Linked DNA regions of Saccharomyces cerevisiae S288C. The gene in region 1 interacts genetically with each later gene. Each region holds a gene or a part of one and is shown in the gene's direction. Other genes may lie near its edges.

The links.
Region 2: mutations in RRB1 (region 1) and FRE3 together harm fitness more than expected from each alone (negative genetic interaction), as found in Saccharomyces cerevisiae (one large-scale study listed by BioGRID).
Region 3: mutations in RRB1 (region 1) and SCM4 together harm fitness more than expected from each alone (negative genetic interaction), as found in Saccharomyces cerevisiae (one large-scale study listed by BioGRID).
Region 4: mutations in RRB1 (region 1) and INM1 together harm fitness more than expected from each alone (negative genetic interaction), as found in Saccharomyces cerevisiae (one large-scale study listed by BioGRID).

The regions. Positions count from the first base shown.
Region 1 is NC_001145.3:531,468-536,989, reverse strand, and holds RRB1 (ribosome biosynthesis protein RRB1), read left to right. Parts: upstream 1-2,291; coding exon 2,292-3,827; downstream 3,828-5,522. Other genes in the region: REC114 (Rec114p), read right to left, coding at 1-783; JLP2 (Jlp2p), read left to right, coding at 1,420-2,046; DPI35 (Dpi35p), read right to left, coding at 3,963-4,871; POM152 (Pom152p), read right to left, coding at 5,173-5,522.
Region 2 is NC_001147.6:1,053,528-1,059,735, forward strand, and holds FRE3 (ferric-chelate reductase), read left to right. Parts: upstream 1-2,017; coding exon 2,018-4,153; downstream 4,154-6,208. Other genes in the region: YOR381W-A (uncharacterized protein), read left to right, coding at 4,896-5,063; FIT2 (Fit2p), read left to right, coding at 6,004-6,208. UniProt on the Saccharomyces cerevisiae protein: Siderophore-iron reductase responsible for reducing extracellular iron prior to import. Catalyzes the reductive uptake of Fe(3+) bound to di- and trihydroxamate siderophores.
Region 3 is NC_001139.9:589,435-594,255, forward strand, and holds SCM4 (Scm4p), read left to right. Parts: upstream 1-1,879; coding exon 1,880-2,443; downstream 2,444-4,821. Other genes in the region: transcription factor TFIIIC subunit TFC4, read right to left, coding at 1-35; polyubiquitin-binding protein UFD1, read left to right, coding at 392-1,477; YGR050C (uncharacterized protein), read right to left, coding at 2,652-3,008; protein kinase FMP48, read left to right, coding at 4,162-4,821.
Region 4 is NC_001140.6:196,354-201,560, reverse strand, and holds INM1 (inositol monophosphate 1-phosphatase INM1), read left to right. Parts: upstream 1-3,275; coding exon 3,276-4,163; downstream 4,164-5,207. Other genes in the region: AAP1 (arginine/alanine aminopeptidase), read left to right, coding at 251-2,821; DDE1 (Dde1p), read right to left, coding at 4,328-5,207. UniProt on the Saccharomyces cerevisiae protein: Responsible for the provision of inositol required for synthesis of phosphatidylinositol and polyphosphoinositides.

The DNA.
Region 1 (5,522 bases):
GTTTGGTGGAGATTGAGAAACCTCCAATGGCTGTACAATTAGCGACTCAGGACGACCCAAAACAGTTTGCGTAGCCATTGGAGTGTTGAGGTCTTGTGAAGATTGTACTACATTTAAATCCGTGTTTGGCCATATTTGTTGAGCTATTTGAATGCTGTCGTGTGGTAAAGTTATATTTGAACGATTATTTGACTCTCTTTCAGATTCTTCCTGATAACGTTGACTGAAATCCATAATCATGTTTTGAGTTTGAAATTGCGTGTTCGGATTTGTGTAGCTACTAACTTTTGGACCTTCTGTGAAACAGACCTTTGTACCGTTATTATTGCCTTGCACCTGGCTTGTTATTGTACTCTGGGCTATTGATGTCCTAGCTGTCCTTAAAACAAAATTAAGGTTCTTTAAAGAAACTACAGTCCTGTTGAACTCAACGTCATTTGGCAAATTCATCTGAAACCTCCTTAACATTCTGGGTCCGAATTCTTCGGAGATATATTTACAAGAGATTATGGGGCTTTTACATGAAAATTGTATTAAATCTTGATTATCCCCCAGCGGCAGGCGAATATTTTCGAGAAGTGTTGAATTATTGAGAACCACATTGATCAGAATTTGTCTAGAGTCCATTAGAAGAACCCGAAATTGGAGAGTGCAGTTAGCGGAAAGGTGTTGCCACTTGTCTATCTGAGGAGGCTCAAGCATTGATTGAAAACCATTTGGAGCGAAGGAGGGAATTGTATACTTGGAGTATTTCTTTATTACAACTGAGCAGTACTCGTACATTTTTCTCTTTTTTTTTATTTTAGTTCTCTCTTTCAAACTTAACTTGACGATATGTTAAAACCTTCTCCTTTGCTTTTTATAAGTTAGCCGCCCACCTTGTAACGAAATTCTCTATTAGTAAAAAAAAGTTGATATTCTTTCAGGAACCCACCAAAATGGGCTTCGTATTTAAGTATGTATTAATAATTTATGTTATTATTATTTAAAATACTGAATACTTTAACAGTCATTTAAGTGTTTATGAATATGCAGACGGTAAACTGAATTTTATTTTATTCCTACAAAATCACATCGTAGAACATATAAGTAGTCATTACATCTATAAAAAAATTAACAGTGGTTTGAAAACATTCGTTGTGCTCGATCAATCATTTGAAAAGAGACTTCTTATTTTTTCTGAATGCTAGATGCTATTTACTTTCATCTTTTATACTCTTAATTTATATTTAGTTTAGGATATAGATTATCCTAGGCTTTAATATTTTAATGGAAAAAAACTACAATAAGATTGAAACAAAGAACTTGGATAAAAAAACAAAACAACTCTGTAGACCAGAGGACTGCCTTATACTTAAAATTTAGAAAGTAAGCGAATAGAATTATAAGGCTCAATTGAAATTCAACTTTTCAATAACAATGGTGTATTTCTATGAATCAAAACCAACTGAGTATTCAACACCTTACCAAATTGTGATGGGCAAAGATAAGTTTGAAAACGATCTACTTATCAAATGGAGCTATAGGGAGTTAAACTATGTTTGGTTTCACGCGGATAAGTACTCAAGTGGTCATGTTTATTTAAAGTTACGCCCAAATGAAAAAACAATCGATGACATACCGCAAGAAGTGATATGTGACTGTCTGCAGCTATGTAAATCAGAATCCATTCAAGGAAACAAAATGCCACAATGCACCATCTTGATAACACCATGGCATAACTTGAGAAAAAACAGGTATATGAATCCCGGTGAAGTATCATTTAAGTCTCTAAGACAATGTAGAAAAATGGAATGCGGAGCACGAGATAACAAAATACTAAACAGACTGGCCAAGACAAGGGTAGAACTATTTAATAATGTGGAAGCTACACTTAACGAAGCAAAGAAGACCAAAAATGGTGATTTTTTTGTAAACTATATTGAGTCGAATAGATCAAATCTTATTGAAGAAGAAAAGCTAAGGAAAGTAGCGAAAAAAAACCAAAAGAAGAAGAACAAACAGTCTAAAGATGAGGTTACTGACGATATGCAACTGGAAGTATGATATCATCTACATAACGTAGACGCTTCAAAATAGAGTACCATTTGTACTTACATCGTGATCACGTTTCTTTTTTCGTTCGAGCCGTGAAAATTTTTTTCCTTTCAGCGAAAAATACAGAAAATAAAATCCAACTGAATTTAGCGATGAGATGATCATTTCTTATAGGGATTGTAGTTGTTTGAATTTGTAGGTAAATAGTTATATCACCTACTCTCCGTTTTCATATACACGGAAATAGCACCATAATGTCGAAAAGGTCTATCGAGGTCAACGAGGAACAAGATAGAGTGGTCTCTGCTAAAACAGAATCTCACTCTGTTCCTGCTATTCCCGCCTCTGAAGAGCAAGATGCTCCCAAGAATGACCTAGAAGAACAATTGAGTGATGAATTTGATAGTGATGGTGAAATTATTGAAATTGATGGCGATGATGAGATTAATGACGAAGATGACCTTAGGAAAAAGCAAGAAGAAGCTGAAACTTTAGTACAAAAGGACCAATCCGAAGGCAACAAAGAAAAGATCCAGGAGCTTTACTTACCCCATATGTCTCGTCCATTAGGGCCAGATGAAGTCCTTGAGGCTGATCCCACTGTTTATGAAATGCTACATAATGTCAATATGCCATGGCCATGCTTGACATTAGATGTCATTCCAGATACACTAGGTTCTGAACGTAGAAACTATCCACAGTCTATTTTGTTGACCACGGCTACTCAATCTTCCAGGAAAAAGGAGAATGAACTAATGGTTCTAGCACTTTCTAATTTAGCGAAAACACTTTTGAAAGACGATAATGAAGGTGAAGATGATGAAGAGGATGATGAAGATGATGTGGATCCAGTCATTGAGAATGAAAATATACCATTGAGAGATACAACCAATAGATTAAAGGTTTCTCCTTTTGCCATTTCTAATCAAGAGGTGTTAACCGCTACAATGAGCGAAAATGGTGATGTTTATATATACAATCTAGCTCCACAAAGCAAAGCTTTTTCCACACCAGGTTATCAGATTCCGAAGTCTGCTAAGCGTCCTATTCACACTGTAAAAAATCATGGGAATGTTGAAGGCTACGGGTTGGATTGGTCACCATTGATCAAGACTGGTGCGTTACTATCAGGTGATTGCTCAGGACAAATATATTTTACCCAAAGGCACACATCGAGATGGGTGACTGATAAACAACCATTTACTGTTTCAAACAATAAATCCATAGAAGATATCCAGTGGTCTCGCACTGAATCCACCGTTTTTGCAACCGCAGGATGTGATGGATATATAAGGATTTGGGACACAAGATCAAAAAAACATAAACCTGCTATCTCTGTTAAAGCTTCTAATACTGACGTAAATGTCATAAGTTGGAGTGATAAAATTGGTTACTTGCTAGCAAGCGGTGACGATAACGGTACATGGGGAGTATGGGATTTAAGACAGTTTACGCCAAGTAATGCTGACGCCGTCCAACCGGTTGCTCAATATGACTTCCATAAGGGAGCCATTACTTCCATTGCATTCAACCCATTAGATGAGTCTATCGTTGCGGTAGGCTCAGAAGATAATACTGTGACTTTGTGGGATTTGTCTGTAGAAGCTGACGATGAGGAAATTAAACAACAGGCCGCCGAAACAAAAGAGCTACAAGAAATTCCACCACAATTATTGTTTGTTCACTGGCAAAAGGAAGTTAAAGATGTCAAATGGCATAAGCAAATCCCAGGTTGTTTAGTAAGTACCGGTACTGACGGTTTGAACGTCTGGAAAACAATCAGTGTCTAAACTGTATAATACTTGGATCATATATTTACACATAGTAGATTATTAATAAACAAACCCATTCAAAGATATAGTAAATATTACTGGCGGATATGAATAATATCTATCATACATATTTGTTACTGTAACGTTAGGCGCTCAGGGAAAGAGTTCCTCTAAAACCTCAAGATTCGAAACAACGTACTTTCTTTCACTCAACTGTAACGTGTCAGTTTGCTTAGTATTGGCTTCCCAAGTGTTTATTGAATTATTATCTATTTTATCAATTGACAGCTTGTATTCGTCCCGCATTGGTTTACTAATCGAGTTTGAAAGAAACCCGTATTTATCATTTCTATCTAACAGTATACCAGTCCAACCGGCAGCTTCTGCCCCTTCGAGATCGTTCTTTAATTCATCTCCGATGTGAAAGCAATGCTGTAGAATTTCCTCCCTGGTGTACTTTTCGAGTAAATGAGGTTGTTTAGATATAATATCGTCAAGCGCATATTGAAATATTGCTCTATCAGGTTTGGCGAGATTAAGCTCATATGATAAATAAATGTGACCGGAAAATGTCTCAAATAATCCGATATTCTTTAATAATTTGTAAAAAATTGGATCAGTATTGCTTACTATTCCTAAGATAACATCAGGATGTCTTGACTTCAAATCCTTTAAAAATTTGATCAAATCTGGATAAACAAAATACGAATCGAAGCCCTCAAACCGCATTAATATTTCATTTATCATCTCATCGGGAATTTCGTTTGGTGCGAAGACGTTCCTAATCAAGATGGACCACCATTGTTCGGGCTTGATACCAGAATATTTTCCGTATTGGGGATAGTCTTCCTTCAGTTTTTTAAAAACGTGTGGAAAATTGTTTGTTAAAGTCGAAGGATTCGCCTTGATACCATATTTACGCCCAACAATGCAGTATTGTTCCATGACGGGAAGTTTTGTGGCGTATAGTGTATTATATGCGTCGAAAGTAATAATTAGTGGCCTTGCCACCCTATGAACTTCAGACCACGCATTTATAGGTATTCTTTTCGGATAGGTCATTGAGCCAATTTCTGTGGATGTTCAAAAGTCTGCTTTTAACACACCTCTATAGACCGTAAAGGACAAAGGTCTCAGCGCTCTCTTTTTCTATTCATTCACCTACACTCTTTCGAGTTACTATGAGCGAAGATAATTGAATCGAGCGTCTTGATAATTTTGAAGAAAAAGAACAACAAACAATACAGGCGTCTTTTTCGCTTTCTTAAGTATTTTAATACTGATGTACAGAGATATATTATACATTACAATTGTACAAAAATATTGCGGGAAAGAAAAATTTCATCAGACTTTCTTGTAATATTTAGTTATTGAAAAAAAGATCATTTTTGGCAAAACAATAAGCATCTGTAATTTCAATCGCCTCGTAGGTACCTTGCAAGCTTGTAATTACCTTGTATTCATGAGAATATATATCAGTGACTTTATGCGTCTCAACAACCTGCGACCTCCTTTTGCCGTGTTTTCCATCAGTCTCTTCTGTCCTTACATAAGTTAGTGAGAATGGTGGGGTACCTTCAAACGAAAAGATTACTTCAGCCTGGTCACCTTCGCGGATATCCTCAGTAACGTAATTTCCTTGAGAAACAGTTACGGAAGGAATAGGATGTATGTTTAAAGATAAGTCATCAAATTCACTCTTTAATTTAGGGT
Region 2 (6,208 bases), on another chromosome or scaffold:
TAGTCATATCACATGCGGATACACTTCTAATACACTAGTCTTCTTTCACTGCCCTTTATTTATAAGACTCATGTCCAGTCTATTTTTTTTTTAAAAAAAAAGACTTTCAAGCTTTTTACAACTTGATATTCTAATATGAATAATGAATAATGAATAATTTAATTAATTGTTTTGTTTAAATTTTGTTCGGTCTCGGCTATATTTGGAAGAAAAATAGCCAGTACATACTTTCTACCACTTTCGCTCAATTATCAATAAAAACATTTAATCGAAAGTCATTCAAACTGAAAACTTCAAAAGTCATTTTTTTATTGCTTCCCATTCCAATCACAATTATGCTTTGAGCCAATTTCAGTAAAACTTTGAAAATACGTAGGCGCATCGCATCGCCTAACTTAATTCGCGGTTTAACTAGCTTCCTCCACCAGTTCCATAAAAAAATGATGGATCAGTGCAAAAAAATTTTATCATAAATCTGATGAAGTATACTAAGCTGAATAAGCTGTAGGCCTTATTTGCTTTTTTCATACCCTTGGTTGGTACGACAGTAAAGATTGGCAGGTTCGGAGATACAACTTTTTTTGAGGCTTAGAATGCTCGGCCTGCATAAAATGGCGTTAAAGTTGCGCACAGGCCCCGGAAACCCTGCCAAGGAATATTACATAAGTTGCAACATCTTTTTCCAATACATGGTTAGAGAGTTTTTAATCGTTATACTTTTTTCTCATTTGATTAAAAAATATAAAATGAATTGCGAAATTCTTCTAGAAATGCGTTACTATTTTACGGTTGGCATTGCAAGATTATTATAACTACGAAGCAGTGTTGGAAAATATCATCTGGGAAGAAATTCCTATTTCTTGGGAAGAATTACATGTGCATAAAAAGATAAAACCCTCGATCACCCAAAATTGACTTTGCGACTAAAAAGTGATTTTTTCAGCATATTGCATTTCAAAAAGTCGTTGTTTAGCACAACTCATAGAAAATAAATACTAGTATGATTCGGGAATTATTTATCAGTTAATTATAGGAGTACAGCCTTTTATAGAGTTGGCGAAGATAGCCAAAAGATAAAAGCTTTGACGTACGTCTGTAAAAAGTGCCTTTTCTGATCGAATCCAGTTGCTCAGATATCCGGGAAGTTGTTAGCATTCATTGCTTTTCTGCACTATATCAGCATATGAATGCTTTCAGTATTTTAATTTTACCCTTTCACGAAGTACGCCAGAAAATGATTGGAAACGTACTCAAAAACAAAGCAGGAAATAAGCGACGAAAATTTTTCATTTCAATTAAGAGGTACTGAGCGGCTACTTAACTTTTTCTGCAGTAAGTAATGACAGAGTATCACTACAGAATTCTGTGCCTCCGGTCTGGGAATGCAGCTAGGGAGACAGCACCCTTTTGCTAATAATGCGCCGGAAATGAAACATTTAGATAAAATCTAAAGTTACGAAAACAATACACTTTGAGGGAAAGATATCAGAGAATTAAAAGCTGCAAAGAACTATGACAAATTAACCGCTTTGTTGACCCTAGATCATAGTTTACACTGCGAACGGGATAGTTGCAACCTCTTTTGTAAAATGCACCCATATCTCATTTTGCCTTTATTTCGGGTGTATAATAGGAGAAAAATTTGAATGGTAAAGAATAAGTCCCTTGCGAGTGTCAAGAGAAGCACAATTATTATTACTATTGGTGACGTGATTGAACTCGAGAATTTTCCTGGACCGATATTTGAGTTTTACGTGGAATGTGGGTGTACCTCATCTCAAAGAATTGGCGAAAAGCCAAACTTCTTAATTCTAACAAAAGCTACTGATTCGTTGGCGATGAAAGACTCTTTTTTTTGGCTGTCAGAAGCTTTCATCTTTGACATAGATGTACAGAATTTGATCAATTGTTTATATTAAAAGATTCGTCGCAACTTATATAAGGTGGCAAGAGAATGATTAACTTCAATTGCTGATGAACGTTCTCAATTCAAAAATTATAAGACACAAGGAAAACAATGTATTGGGTCCTCCTTTGTGGTTCTATTTTGTTATGCTGCTTGTCAGGAGCAAGCGCCTCCCCTGCTAAGACAAAAATGTACGGCAAGTTACCACTGGTTTTGACAGATGCCTGCATGGGAGTTCTCGGCGAAGTAACCTGGGAGTATAGTAGTGACGATTTATATTCCTCACCAGCATGTACATATGAACCGGCATTACAGTCAATGTTGTATTGTATTTACGAATCATTGAATGAAAAGGGTTATTCCAATAGAACCTTTGAAAAAACCTTTGCTGCTATCAAAGAAGACTGCGCATATTACACTGATAACCTTCAGAATATGACTAATGCAGATTTCTATAATATGCTGAATAATGGAACAACATACATAATACAGTATTCTGAAGGTAGCGCGAATCTTACGTATCCAATCGAGATGGATGCCCAAGTGAGAGAAAACTATTATTATTCTTACCATGGTTTCTACGCCAACTACGACATTGGTCATACTTATGGTGGTATTATTTGCGCCTATTTTGTAGGTGTTATGATTCTTGCCAGCATACTCCATTATCTAAGTTACACTCCGTTTAAAACTGCCTTATTTAAACAAAGACTTGTAAGATATGTGAGAAGATATTTGACAATACCTACTATCTGGGGTAAACATGCGTCGAGCTTTTCTTACCTTAAAATTTTTACAGGCTTCCTTCCCACACGATCTGAAGGCGTCATTATACTTGGATACCTCGTGCTTCATACAGTTTTTCTGGCATACGGGTATCAATATGATCCTTACAACTTAATTTTCGACTCTCGTAGAGAACAGATTGCTCGATACGTGGCAGATAGAAGTGGTGTCCTGGCATTTGCACATTTTCCCCTAATAGCTCTTTTCGCAGGAAGGAACAATTTTCTAGAATTCATTTCTGGAGTAAAATATACCTCTTTCATAATGTTTCATAAGTGGTTGGGAAGAATGATGTTTTTAGATGCTGTGATTCATGGCGCTGCTTATACCAGTTATTCCGTATTCTACAAAGATTGGGCAGCAAGCAAGGAAGAGACATATTGGCAATTTGGAGTAGCTGCTCTTTGTATAGTTGGTGTTATGGTGTTTTTTTCTTTGGCAATGTTCAGAAAGTTTTTCTATGAAGCCTTCTTATTTCTCCATATTGTGCTTGGCGCATTGTTCTTTTATACGTGTTGGGAGCACGTCGTAGAATTGAGTGGGATTGAGTGGATATACGCTGCTATTGCTATCTGGACTATTGATAGGCTAATTCGAATTGTTAGAGTATCTTATTTCGGTTTCCCTAAGGCTTCCTTACAGTTAGTTGGCGATGACATCATTCGAGTCACAGTCAAACGACCAGTAAGGCTATGGAAAGCCAAACCAGGACAGTATGTTTTCGTTTCATTCCTACACCACCTGTATTTTTGGCAGTCACATCCTTTCACAGTCTTAGATTCAATTATCAAAGATGGTGAGCTGACTATTATCCTGAAGGAAAAAAAGGGAGTAACAAAACTTGTCAAAAAGTATGTGTGTTGCAATGGAGGTAAGGCATCTATGAGACTAGCTATAGAAGGTCCATATGGCTCTTCATCTCCAGTCAATAATTATGATAACGTCTTGCTACTTACGGGAGGTACTGGTTTGCCAGGGCCCATTGCACACGCCATTAAACTTGGAAAAACGTCAGCGGCAACTGGAAAACAATTCATAAAATTAGTGATTGCAGTTAGAGGGTTTAACGTACTCGAGGCTTACAAGCCGGAGCTGATGTGTCTAGAAGATCTTAATGTACAGCTTCACATCTACAATACAATGGAAGTTCCGGCATTAACTCCTAATGATAGTTTGGAAATTTCTCAACAAGACGAGAAGGCCGATGGAAAAGGTGTTGTTATGGCAACTACCCTAGAACAGTCACCTAATCCAGTTGAATTTGATGGTACTGTTTTTCATCATGGAAGACCCAATGTTGAAAAGCTTCTGCATGAAGTTGGTGACCTAAATGGATCGTTAGCTGTGGTTTGTTGTGGGCCTCCTGTTTTCGTTGACGAAGTAAGGGATCAAACGGCAAATCTTGTTCTAGAGAAGCCTGCAAAGGCAATCGAATACTTTGAAGAATACCAAAGTTGGTAATCAATTACCTTATTTATTTCCTCACTATTTTACCTATCACAAGTATATATTTAATTGTTTTGACCTGAAACATAATTTATGTCTAGCTGCAATGAAGACAATTGATCGACTTTCACAAACTTTTTCAATCTACTAATCTTTGGAAGCATTTTTTAACTGTCTCCCACTCTTGTTCCATGACTTAAATTTCTCTTCCTCCAAATTAACTGAATTTTTTTTCTGGATTGATGTTCTTTCCAATTGTTGTGGTAATCCACAGCTGGTATAACATAAAAAGAAGTTTTTTGTAAAAAAAAAAAATTTCTCAGTAAGCATATAAGCCTCAGTGAAATAAAATTTTAACAACTACACGCTATTCTATTCCATTTGCCCTGCTTTTCTCGCTTCGTTATCACCTAACCACTAAGAACATACTAATAATACAAAATTTTTATCCACTTTTTACCAACAGATTTTCATGAAATATCCATCTTCTTTCCGAATTCTGTATAAAATGAAAGAGAGATTTTTTGCTCTCAATCCAGGCTCAAGGCTCTTGAGAACAGGTAATTGTTGTTTAGCACGTTTTCAACACATTTATCAGAAAACGACAGTTAAAAATAAGACGAGCGGCGTTATCATCCTGATAGTCACTAAATGAAAAGCAGGTACTTTTGAAGAGCACATGTAATATTTGCTCAACTGATAATACCTTCATTTTATACACACTTCTAATTTTTTTTTTAAAATCAGATACGCATTGATGTTCAATGTAGCATTACCATCACAAGACAAAAAATCAGAATTTTACAAGCAAAAGCGCTTATCTTTAAGGACCAACATATTAGATGAATTCTTAAGGGTTGCCAAAACGCAAGACAACAGGCAAAATAATTTCGTTTCTCAGTACCGAAATGACGAAATATACTGAGGCAAATGCGATCATCATGCCTTTGCGCCAAGAAACTCCCTTGTGAAGAACTTCAAACCGAAATGGGAAAACTTTGAGTTATTGACAGGGAATACGGAGGGGAAGATCACACTTAAATCCGTATGAGCCGCGCACATAATGGTATTCAAATACACAAGAACATTCATGAGCTATTTTTCATCCGTGCAAACGAATTTACTACAATTGGACCAGAGGGCACCATAACTGGAGACTTTGCTACTGACTCAACGTTGATGATGCGAGTAGTGGGTGTACTGTGATTTGCTCATTTTTTTTTTTATAGAAAGATTCGATTAATGAAAGTCACAGGAGACATTTTTACATAGACATTCCGTATATGTTGCGGGTATCGCGGATGCGGATTAGTGATGCCTTTAACTACATTTCATAGATTTCTGTATACCAATTGAAATGAGTGAAGTAAGCTCCTACAGTGAAATATCTGGGTGCTACTGACGCCAAGCCCTACAGCGATCGGAATGCGGGAACGGAAGTTAACGGGGCTTCCAGAACGGCGGAAGCGAATTGAACGAGGACGGCAAACAAAAACACCCAAAATTTCATTACTTAGAATGACCCTCAAGAGCAGGGTGCAATTTATCAAGCGATCATTGAACTAACTAAGTTCATATCCTGTATAGGATTTAAAACAATGCACCCTAAGTTCAAATGCACCCCCCCTCGCCCCGCAGCGGACCCTTGAACAGAGAACTGTTTCGAGGTTCACCCAATTGGATCACTTGTATAATTTGTAATCGAGTTCGGATAAGATGTATACGAATCTAACTGGGTGCAGTATAATTAGCATTTTATATTACCTAGCAATATATGTATAAAACAGGAATGTGTGCGTGCTTCAGGCAGAATTTTACGGTCCTTGTAAAAAAGTCTATCATAAAGCCATCACAAAACAATAATAATGAAATTCTCAACTATTTTCGGAGCTACTACAGTTATGACTGCCGTCTCGGCAGCAGCTGTGTCGAGTGTAATGACCACTAAGACTATTACTGCTACTAACGGTAATAACGTTTACACTAAGGTCGTTACCGACACCGCTGACCCTATCATTAGTTACAGTACCACTAGAACTGTCGTTGTCAGTAATAGTGATGCTACTTACA
Region 3 (4,821 bases), on another chromosome or scaffold:
TTTTGCTGTTCCTTTTTCAATTTTCCTGCTGCCATCACAGATACACTTGAGGGTTTCTTTCTCTAGCTTCAGATTCATTGTTGACTGGTGTTATTATACACAGTGCGCTGCCATTATTATCGTTCTTCTATTTCTAGCCGAAGCGCCTTAAAAAAAAAAAGTGTCCACTTTGGGAAACTCGCCTTTACGACGAAAAAGTCAAACTTGCGTTCTACGAAAGAGAAGAATTCCTTTTTTGGGTTAGGTGGCGAAAAATAAAGGTAGTTAAAAGTAATCCTGGCTGGTCTATGTGAATAGGGAAGAGATAATGATGTAGTTTTCAATAGATAGTAACACATACCATAGCAAGGGAGGAAAAAATATCAAAGTGATACTGTAAAATATAATAAAAATGTTTTCTGGCTTTAGTTCTTTTGGCGGCGGAAATGGTTTTGTAAATATGCCTCAAACGTTTGAGGAGTTCTTTAGATGCTACCCTATAGCTATGATGAATGATAGAATACGGAAGGATGACGCAAACTTCGGCGGGAAAATATTCCTGCCACCAAGTGCTCTAAGCAAACTATCCATGTTGAACATAAGATACCCCATGCTTTTTAAACTAACTGCCAATGAAACTGGACGTGTGACACATGGAGGTGTTTTAGAATTTATTGCTGAAGAGGGCAGAGTTTACTTACCACAATGGATGATGGAAACTTTGGGTATACAGCCAGGATCTCTACTGCAAATTTCATCTACTGATGTACCTCTGGGCCAGTTTGTGAAGTTAGAACCTCAGTCTGTAGATTTCTTGGATATTTCCGACCCCAAAGCAGTTTTGGAAAACGTACTGAGGAATTTCTCGACTTTGACCGTGGACGATGTTATTGAGATTAGTTACAATGGTAAAACTTTCAAAATTAAGATCTTAGAAGTCAAACCAGAATCATCATCGAAGAGTATATGTGTCATTGAAACAGATTTAGTAACAGATTTTGCTCCACCTGTAGGATATGTGGAACCGGATTACAAAGCGCTGAAAGCTCAGCAAGATAAAGAAAAAAAGAATTCTTTTGGTAAGGGCCAAGTTTTGGATCCCTCGGTGCTTGGCCAGGGATCGATGTCCACAAGAATCGACTATGCGGGTATCGCTAACAGTAGCAGAAACAAACTATCTAAATTTGTAGGTCAGGGACAAAACATATCTGGTAAAGCTCCGAAAGCGGAGCCCAAGCAAGATATAAAAGATATGAAGATAACGTTTGATGGCGAGCCCGCCAAGCTAGATCTGCCTGAAGGCCAATTATTCTTTGGTTTCCCAATGGTCCTACCGAAAGAAGACGAAGAAAGTGCCGCTGGTAGCAAATCCAGTGAACAAAATTTCCAAGGCCAAGGGATCTCACTAAGGAAGAGCAATAAGAGAAAAACGAAAAGTGACCATGATTCGTCCAAGTCCAAGGCTCCCAAAAGCCCGGAAGTAATCGAAATTGACTAAAAGATATATACTAGTATACAACAATATAGTGTCTTTGACAGATATATAGAGCATTTTCAAGTTAACAGATCTTAGAATCCAAGTATCTTATGCATCGCATTAGCTCTGCTGCATTTGCTGTTCGTTTAGTAAAAATAATTACGTGCGCGGTTGCGCGATATTTCCCTTGCTTAATGCCGAAGTAATTCTCTTCGTTTACCCATACTCGAATCTATTGTGTTGTTGAAAAATAAAAAAAAAAAGAACCAGGTTATATAATTGTGAGTTGATCAGTATATAAATGAGAGAAAAGAAGTTTCTATTGTTCCAAATTATATCCAAGCTGATTTTTTAACCCTTACCTCACGAAAAGCAAGTTTAAGACAAACACTCATAAGAATCCTTACATATACTAAAAAACAAATGCAAGTCTCCCCAGCTATTGTAAAAGGTATCGCAGTCTCATCATTAGGTTTATACGCCGGTATTTTAACTTCATCTACCGTGATTTCTATTACCACCCCAATAAATGTTCTAACTCAACATTTGAAGAATGTTTTGTGCACATTAGGATGCTGGAGCACCGTTTTAGGTGGTTTAGCTACTGGTGCCTTTGGACTCAGCTACTATCTAGCTGCACCAGGAGAAAGACCAAACTACCTTTTGTGCGGACTTGGTGTCGCCCCATTATCTGCAGCCTACCTATACTTAGTATCACTGTTCAATCACAAGCTAGCCCCAAAATGCACACGTGACCAAAATGATTTAGAAAAGCAAAAGGATGAAAAATTACCCCAACATCACCCGGAAGTCAAAGATGGGGAAGCTGCATGCCCATTCTCAAAGATGAACAACGCCAAAACATTAAAACCTGAATCCGAAAGAAGCGTAAAATGTCACTCATACATGTCATTGCACATGAGCATTGTAACCGGTATAACAATTTTTACCTTTGGTAAGTGTATCCTAGATGGATTCAAAGCATGAACGACGAAGCACGTGACACGTTCCCTTCAAACATCACAATTATTTAAGCGAGACTAATATATATGTTTAGCGAAAAAAAAGGCCAAAAAAACTAGTAAATATACAAAGCAGAGTATTTTTGGCTCTTGTCCACATTGGATAAGAGAATATTTATTTTTCACACAGAAAAAAAAGTTATATACGTATCTCTAAGAAAGTCAAAGACAAATTACGTAGAATGTGATTCATTCCCATTTCGCCCGTACACTCTCTGTCTCTGTCTCTGTCCCAAACTTCCCTTCCTATACGTATTCATAATCTGCTTAAACGTCAACAGTAGTTTCGGAACATCTTCATACGTAGGGAATACGACTTTTTTCTTTTCACCTGCAGCTTGAGCCAAACTAAAACTGGGATCCGGATAAACTATTAATAAAGGATCGCAAAGTCCATACGCCAGTTTAATGGGAATGAAATGATATTGCGAAGTGACGTCAAGAATCGACTTTAAGCTATATCCGAAGTCAAGAAAGCCGAACCTTACATGCGGTCGGAAAGCAAACGAGGAGATTAGATTGGTTTTCATATCCGCTAAATTTTCTTTTGATTTTACTTTGGCTTAATCTAATGCATGTATATCGGAAGAAGCAACCGATCTGGCCCAGTTGAGTCGTGCTACCTTAGTCATGCCCAGGAAAACCGGATTCCTTCTTTTCATTATGACATCCGTTTAGGTCAATAGGCTTTTTTTTCTCTCGCCCGTGCCTCTCCGTGTTCGATGAATGTGCAGCTTGCCTCCGAGCGGGCGAGCCACCTCGAGCGGGTGACGAAATAGTGGAAAAGAAACGGGGAAGCAAAACTGTGCTGTTCTGGCCCGCAGCGGACGAACGTCATTAAAGGCGCTCCATTTCTGTCGTGAGGGTCTTTCGGTGCGGTGGTGAGGCTGCGTAAACAAGCTTGCTCTTCATACCCCTCCCGTGGAGCTAGTTCGGAAGGACTATTGGCGCATCTTCTGTTGAGAGGTTCCGTAATTCTCCGTAACGTCCCGTTCACCACTTTGCATGTGCTCTCACGTACGGCCGTCTCTTTTCGGCCTTCGGCCCGTTCCGATTTTTGTACCCCTTACGTGCTTTGAATTCTAGAAGGCATCTCCTCTCCGATGGCTTGGTACAGGGAGCACTAGGGAAATTGCACATGGAAGTATCTGGAATACAAAGTTTTTGAAAAGAAAAGCCGAGCGTAATATTGGGACAATACCCAGTTCTCAGCCTTTTCAGCGCGGGTATGAGACAGCTTGCAACAGGTAAAAGGAAGTTAGAAGGGTTAGGTGAAGGGAACGATGATGCTGCCTGAGAACAAAAATGCAGCTTCATGTTACATACAATAAAGGAAGGATAATTAAGGGGACCATGCAATAAGGGACAACTTAATTTTGGAAAAATCGGAGCTTAGTTGCATCTACCTACTAATACTTTCCCCAAAGAATAATAATACGAGTACAATACATATATATATATATATATAATATACACATGTAAGTGATGACTATTCTTAATACAAAAAAATTTCCCTTTTATAATAACTATTCTTAGCATTAAATAACCCGTTACTGACAAAAAGCATATAACATAGGACTCAAGATCGACTCTCATACCCTCCGAATCAAATTCTCACTCGTATACGCAATCATTTAAATAAGCACATCATTATCAGCATATACCGAATAATAAAAAGCAAAAATGTATACAAAACTAAGATCTATACAATCAGGAACATTTAGCACAGTTTATAAAGCATGGAGTACTACACATAACCGCTACGTCGCTTTAAAGATTACTCCTAAATACAAAACTTCAGAAGCCAACATGAAGAACGAGTATGATGTAATGAAGATTTTGAGTTCTTGTAATCCTCACCCCAACATCTGTTCGATGCTCGACTTTTACACGGATGACTCGTACTACATCATGGTGCTAGAATACTGCGAATGTGGTGATCTTTATGACTTTCTAGATATTGCTAAGAGTCAAGGTAGCCCGTCGTCTCCATCTTTGATTCAAATTGATATGCAAAAGATAATCAAACAACTGTGCTCAGCAATCAGCTTTGCTCACAGCTTGGGTATTGCTCATCGTGATATCAAACCAGAAAATATTTTGCTAACGATAAATGGTGACATCAAGTTGGCAGACTGGGGTCACGCTATCCAATCCCCTAAATCTAACGACTTCCAGATTGGTACCGATAATTACAGGGCGCCAGAAACTTTCTCTGGCCGCGTTAGTAACTCTTGTTTTAAGAAGAATTTCGATCGGTCATCGGCTCCATTGTATAACACATACCAAGCTGACTATTGGTCATTGGGTGCCACCATATTTTATCTGATGTTCGGCGATTGC
Region 4 (5,207 bases), on another chromosome or scaffold:
GTCTTCATCCCACATTTTTTGAACTCGTTGTGAAAGTTTTTTTTCGTACTCTTGGACTTGGCTGTGGGAGTTTGACACATTTTTTTATTTTTTTTCCGTTTTTTTCCCTTTTGTTAGCGATCAAACTTTTGACTTTATGAGTAATCTTAGCTAATCATTTAGAATTATCTTCAGGGAAGCTTATTCAATTCGTGATTTTTCTTTGAGGGTTCCTGTTCAAGCAAGCCAAATTGCCCTCTCAGCTAATACCATGTCCCGTGAAGTACTGCCAAACAACGTTACCCCATTGCATTATGACATTACACTAGAACCTAATTTCCGTGCTTTTACGTTTGAAGGGTCATTAAAAATTGACCTGCAGATTAATGATCATTCGATAAACTCTGTGCAAATAAATTACTTAGAAATAGATTTCCATTCTGCACGTATTGAGGGTGTCAATGCCATTGAAGTTAACAAAAACGAAAACCAACAAAAAGCTACTCTTGTCTTTCCTAATGGAACTTTTGAAAACCTAGGACCTTCTGCGAAGTTAGAAATTATCTTTTCCGGTATTCTAAATGATCAGATGGCGGGATTTTACAGGGCTAAGTATACGGATAAAGTCACAGGGGAGACGAAGTACATGGCTACTACTCAGATGGAAGCCACAGATGCTAGAAGAGCCTTTCCTTGTTTTGACGAACCAAATTTGAAGGCGACTTTTGCAGTAACTTTGGTCTCTGAATCGTTTCTGACTCATTTGTCCAACATGGATGTCAGGAATGAAACAATCAAAGAGGGTAAGAAATATACAACTTTTAACACGACTCCAAAGATGTCTACGTACTTAGTAGCATTTATTGTAGCTGACCTGAGATACGTGGAAAGCAATAATTTCCGTATTCCAGTAAGAGTTTATTCTACCCCAGGGGACGAAAAATTTGGTCAGTTTGCAGCCAATTTAGCTGCTAGGACCTTGAGATTCTTTGAGGACACCTTCAACATAGAATATCCATTGCCAAAGATGGATATGGTGGCAGTTCATGAGTTTTCTGCTGGTGCTATGGAAAACTGGGGGCTAGTGACTTATAGAGTTATTGATTTGTTATTAGACATAGAAAATTCGAGTTTAGATCGCATTCAAAGAGTTGCTGAGGTTATTCAGCATGAACTAGCCCACCAATGGTTCGGCAACTTGGTCACCATGGATTGGTGGGAAGGCTTATGGTTGAATGAAGGTTTTGCCACTTGGATGTCTTGGTACTCTTGCAACAAGTTTCAACCAGAATGGAAAGTTTGGGAGCAATATGTTACTGACAATTTACAACGTGCTCTAAATTTAGATTCATTAAGATCTTCCCATCCAATTGAAGTTCCCGTTAATAATGCGGACGAAATCAATCAAATTTTTGATGCTATTTCTTATTCTAAAGGATCTTCTTTATTGAGGATGATTTCCAAATGGTTGGGTGAAGAGACTTTTATTAAAGGTGTGTCCCAATACCTGAATAAATTCAAATACGGTAATGCAAAGACCGGAGATTTGTGGGACGCCTTAGCAGATGCCTCTGGCAAGGACGTTTGTTCGGTGATGAACATCTGGACAAAACGTGTTGGTTTTCCAGTGTTATCTGTCAAGGAACACAAGAACAAAATCACATTAACTCAACACCGTTATTTAAGTACCGGTGATGTTAAAGAAGAGGAAGATACAACCATATACCCCATTTTGTTAGCTTTGAAAGACAGTACAGGTATCGATAACACATTGGTATTGAACGAAAAATCTGCTACTTTCGAATTAAAGAATGAAGAGTTCTTCAAGATTAATGGTGACCAATCTGGTATTTTCATTACCTCTTATTCTGACGAAAGATGGGCTAAGCTATCCAAACAGGCAAATTTATTATCCGTAGAGGATCGTGTTGGCTTAGTCGCAGATGCAAAAGCCCTTTCTGCATCTGGCTATACCTCTACTACTAACTTCTTGAATTTAATTTCTAATTGGAAAAACGAGGATTCATTTGTTGTTTGGGAACAAATCATTAATAGTTTATCCGCTCTGAAATCTACTTGGGTCTTCGAACCAGAGGATATATTGAATGCTCTAGATAAATTTACTTTGGATCTAGTACTTAACAAACTTTCTGAATTGGGGTGGAATATTGGCGAAGACGACTCCTTTGCTATCCAACGTTTAAAAGTGACCCTTTTCAGTGCCGCATGCACTTCTGGCAATGAAAAAATGCAATCGATTGCGGTAGAAATGTTTGAGGAATACGCCAATGGGAACAAACAGGCCATACCTGCACTGTTCAAGGCAGTTGTTTTCAACACCGTTGCCAGACTTGGCGGAGAAAACAATTACGAAAAGATTTTCAACATCTATCAAAACCCTGTTTCGTCAGAAGAAAAGATTATCGCTTTGAGAGCTTTGGGCAGATTTGAAGACAAAGAACTTTTAGAAAGGACATTGTCTTATCTGCTAGATGGTACAGTTTTGAATCAAGATTTTTACATCCCAATGCAAGGCATTAGAGTTCATAAGAAGGGTATTGAAAGGTTATGGGCTTGGATGCAAGAACACTGGGACGAAATTGCTAAGAGATTACAGCCAGGCTCGCCTGTGTTGGGTGGCGTGTTGACATTGGGTTTAACTAATTTTACCTCTTTTGAAGCCCTTGAAAAAATTAGTGCGTTCTATAGTAGAAAGGTCACTAAAGGTTTTGATCAAACCCTGGCTCAAGCCTTAGACACTATTAGATCCAAGGCGCAATGGGTGAGCAGAGATCGTGAAATCGTTGCTACCTACTTGCGTGAGCATGAGTATGATCAATAGCTTTTTTTTTTCACGAGCACCTACAACACAAATATATACATATGCCAATGAGTCAAAACCACGTGTAATTAATAAAGAGATTACTACTTGCTTATGTAGAAATATAGTAGCTAGCAGAAAATGAATCTGATAACATCTTCATTGACACATTTCCAAGTATAGAGAACTTTCTTCTGCTTCCTTTCGGAAGAACTGAGTGAATATTGACTGGCGTGCGTCATAGCGAGATTTTTTCATCTGATGATGTATGGAAAAAAAAAAAAAACTTTTTTTTGAATAATGGATGCATCGAGTGACTTTCATTGTTGCGCACGTTGCTTTTCCAAAAATGGTATTAATATAGGTCTTTTATCTCTTACTTCACATTTAACTGCTTGTTAAATAACCCCAGTGTTTTCTTTTTTTTGGATGAATAAGGAAATCAACAGCTGGTACACGCATATACACATATACCATGACCATTGATCTAGCTTCTATCGAGAAATTCCTCTGTGAACTGGCTACTGAAAAAGTAGGACCAATCATCAAATCCAAGTCCGGCACTCAAAAGGATTATGACTTGAAGACTGGCTCCAGGAGCGTTGATATTGTAACTGCTATCGATAAACAGGTCGAAAAGTTAATTTGGGAATCGGTAAAAACCCAATATCCAACTTTCAAGTTTATTGGAGAGGAAAGTTATGTGAAAGGGGAGACCGTGATTACTGATGATCCTACCTTTATTATTGATCCAATTGATGGGACTACAAACTTTGTTCATGATTTCCCATTTAGCTGTACCTCTCTTGGGCTCACAGTAAACAAAGAGCCCGTAGTAGGCGTTATATATAATCCTCACATTAATCTTCTGGTATCCGCTTCTAAAGGAAATGGGATGAGAGTTAACAACAAGGACTATGACTATAAATCAAAATTGGAATCTATGGGTTCTCTAATACTAAATAAATCCGTAGTGGCATTACAGCCAGGTTCCGCTAGAGAGGGAAAGAATTTTCAGACAAAAATGGCCACATATGAAAAATTACTATCATGTGATTACGGTTTTGTTCATGGATTCAGAAATTTAGGATCATCTGCAATGACAATGGCATATATTGCTATGGGGTACCTTGATAGTTATTGGGATGGTGGTTGCTATTCGTGGGACGTGTGTGCTGGATGGTGTATTTTGAAAGAAGTGGGCGGTCGTGTAGTAGGTGCCAATCCAGGTGAATGGAGTATTGATGTCGACAATAGGACATATTTGGCTGTGAGGGGAACAATTAATAACGAAAGTGACGAACAAACAAAATATATCACAGACTTTTGGAACTGTGTTGATGGCCATTTGAAATATGACTGATCGTCAGCACATTAGGCCTAATATAAAATGTACGATTAAAATGACAGTTATTTGAATCATTTTAGCTGATCACAGGGATATAGAAGGTATTGGTAGTAATAATAATAATGATAATAATAATAATGATAATAATAAATAATAAATAATAAAGCGATAGATAATGCTCATTGATTATAGATGTATAAGCAACCGTCTTGGCCAAATAGTCCAAAAACGCCAACTAGAGGCATCCATCCTTCACCTCCTCCAAACCTTTCAGCTAAATGCAAAGCTTTCTCTAAACGATCGGACTCTACTGGTTTACCTATGCTAAAACCACGAATACATAACATACCCTGCTTCTTCTCTATGTTCAAATGAGGGTTTGTTTCCGTTTCTACCATTTTTCCTTCTAATGTTGTACTTAGTGTTCCATAACATACAACGTTATCGTCCACAGATTTTCCAAAAACCCTATAGTCATAAAAATTGGTATGTGCCACAGGTCCCATGATAGCGTAGGGACAATATAACTCGAGGACTACACGGGATCCTAATTGAGCTCTTATTTTATTCAATTGTTCAGTGCTTGGGGTGATTCTTCGGTTAGTCTTTTTTAGCTGAGGAATTTTTTCAGGAAATGTCGAAATAACCTCAGCATCTTTCACATTATCTGCCAAATAAACACATCTTAATTTTTCAAGAGAATGTGGCTCGATTCTGGCAATTTTCGTAAAAATACCCTCGCTCAGTAAGTTCGTGGCCCAGGATAAGTAGATTTTATTCAGCAGCCCACTTCTAGAATTAGAATCAATTAATTTGACAACATCCTTTGTTTCGGTAAACAGTAACGTAGTTTCTTGCAACGACTCGCAATCTATCGTTGTAGGATTGATGAAAGATGCAGACCCACCATGCAGCAAAACTGCAAAAAGCTTTCCCCAAATTTGTAGGCTTGCACTAGAATTTGCCAATTTTGTCGAAATGGTTAGGTATTCATTACTATTCAATTCATTTCCCAAGGGGAACCCTTTGATGAATTCCGCTATATTACTCACCAGACAG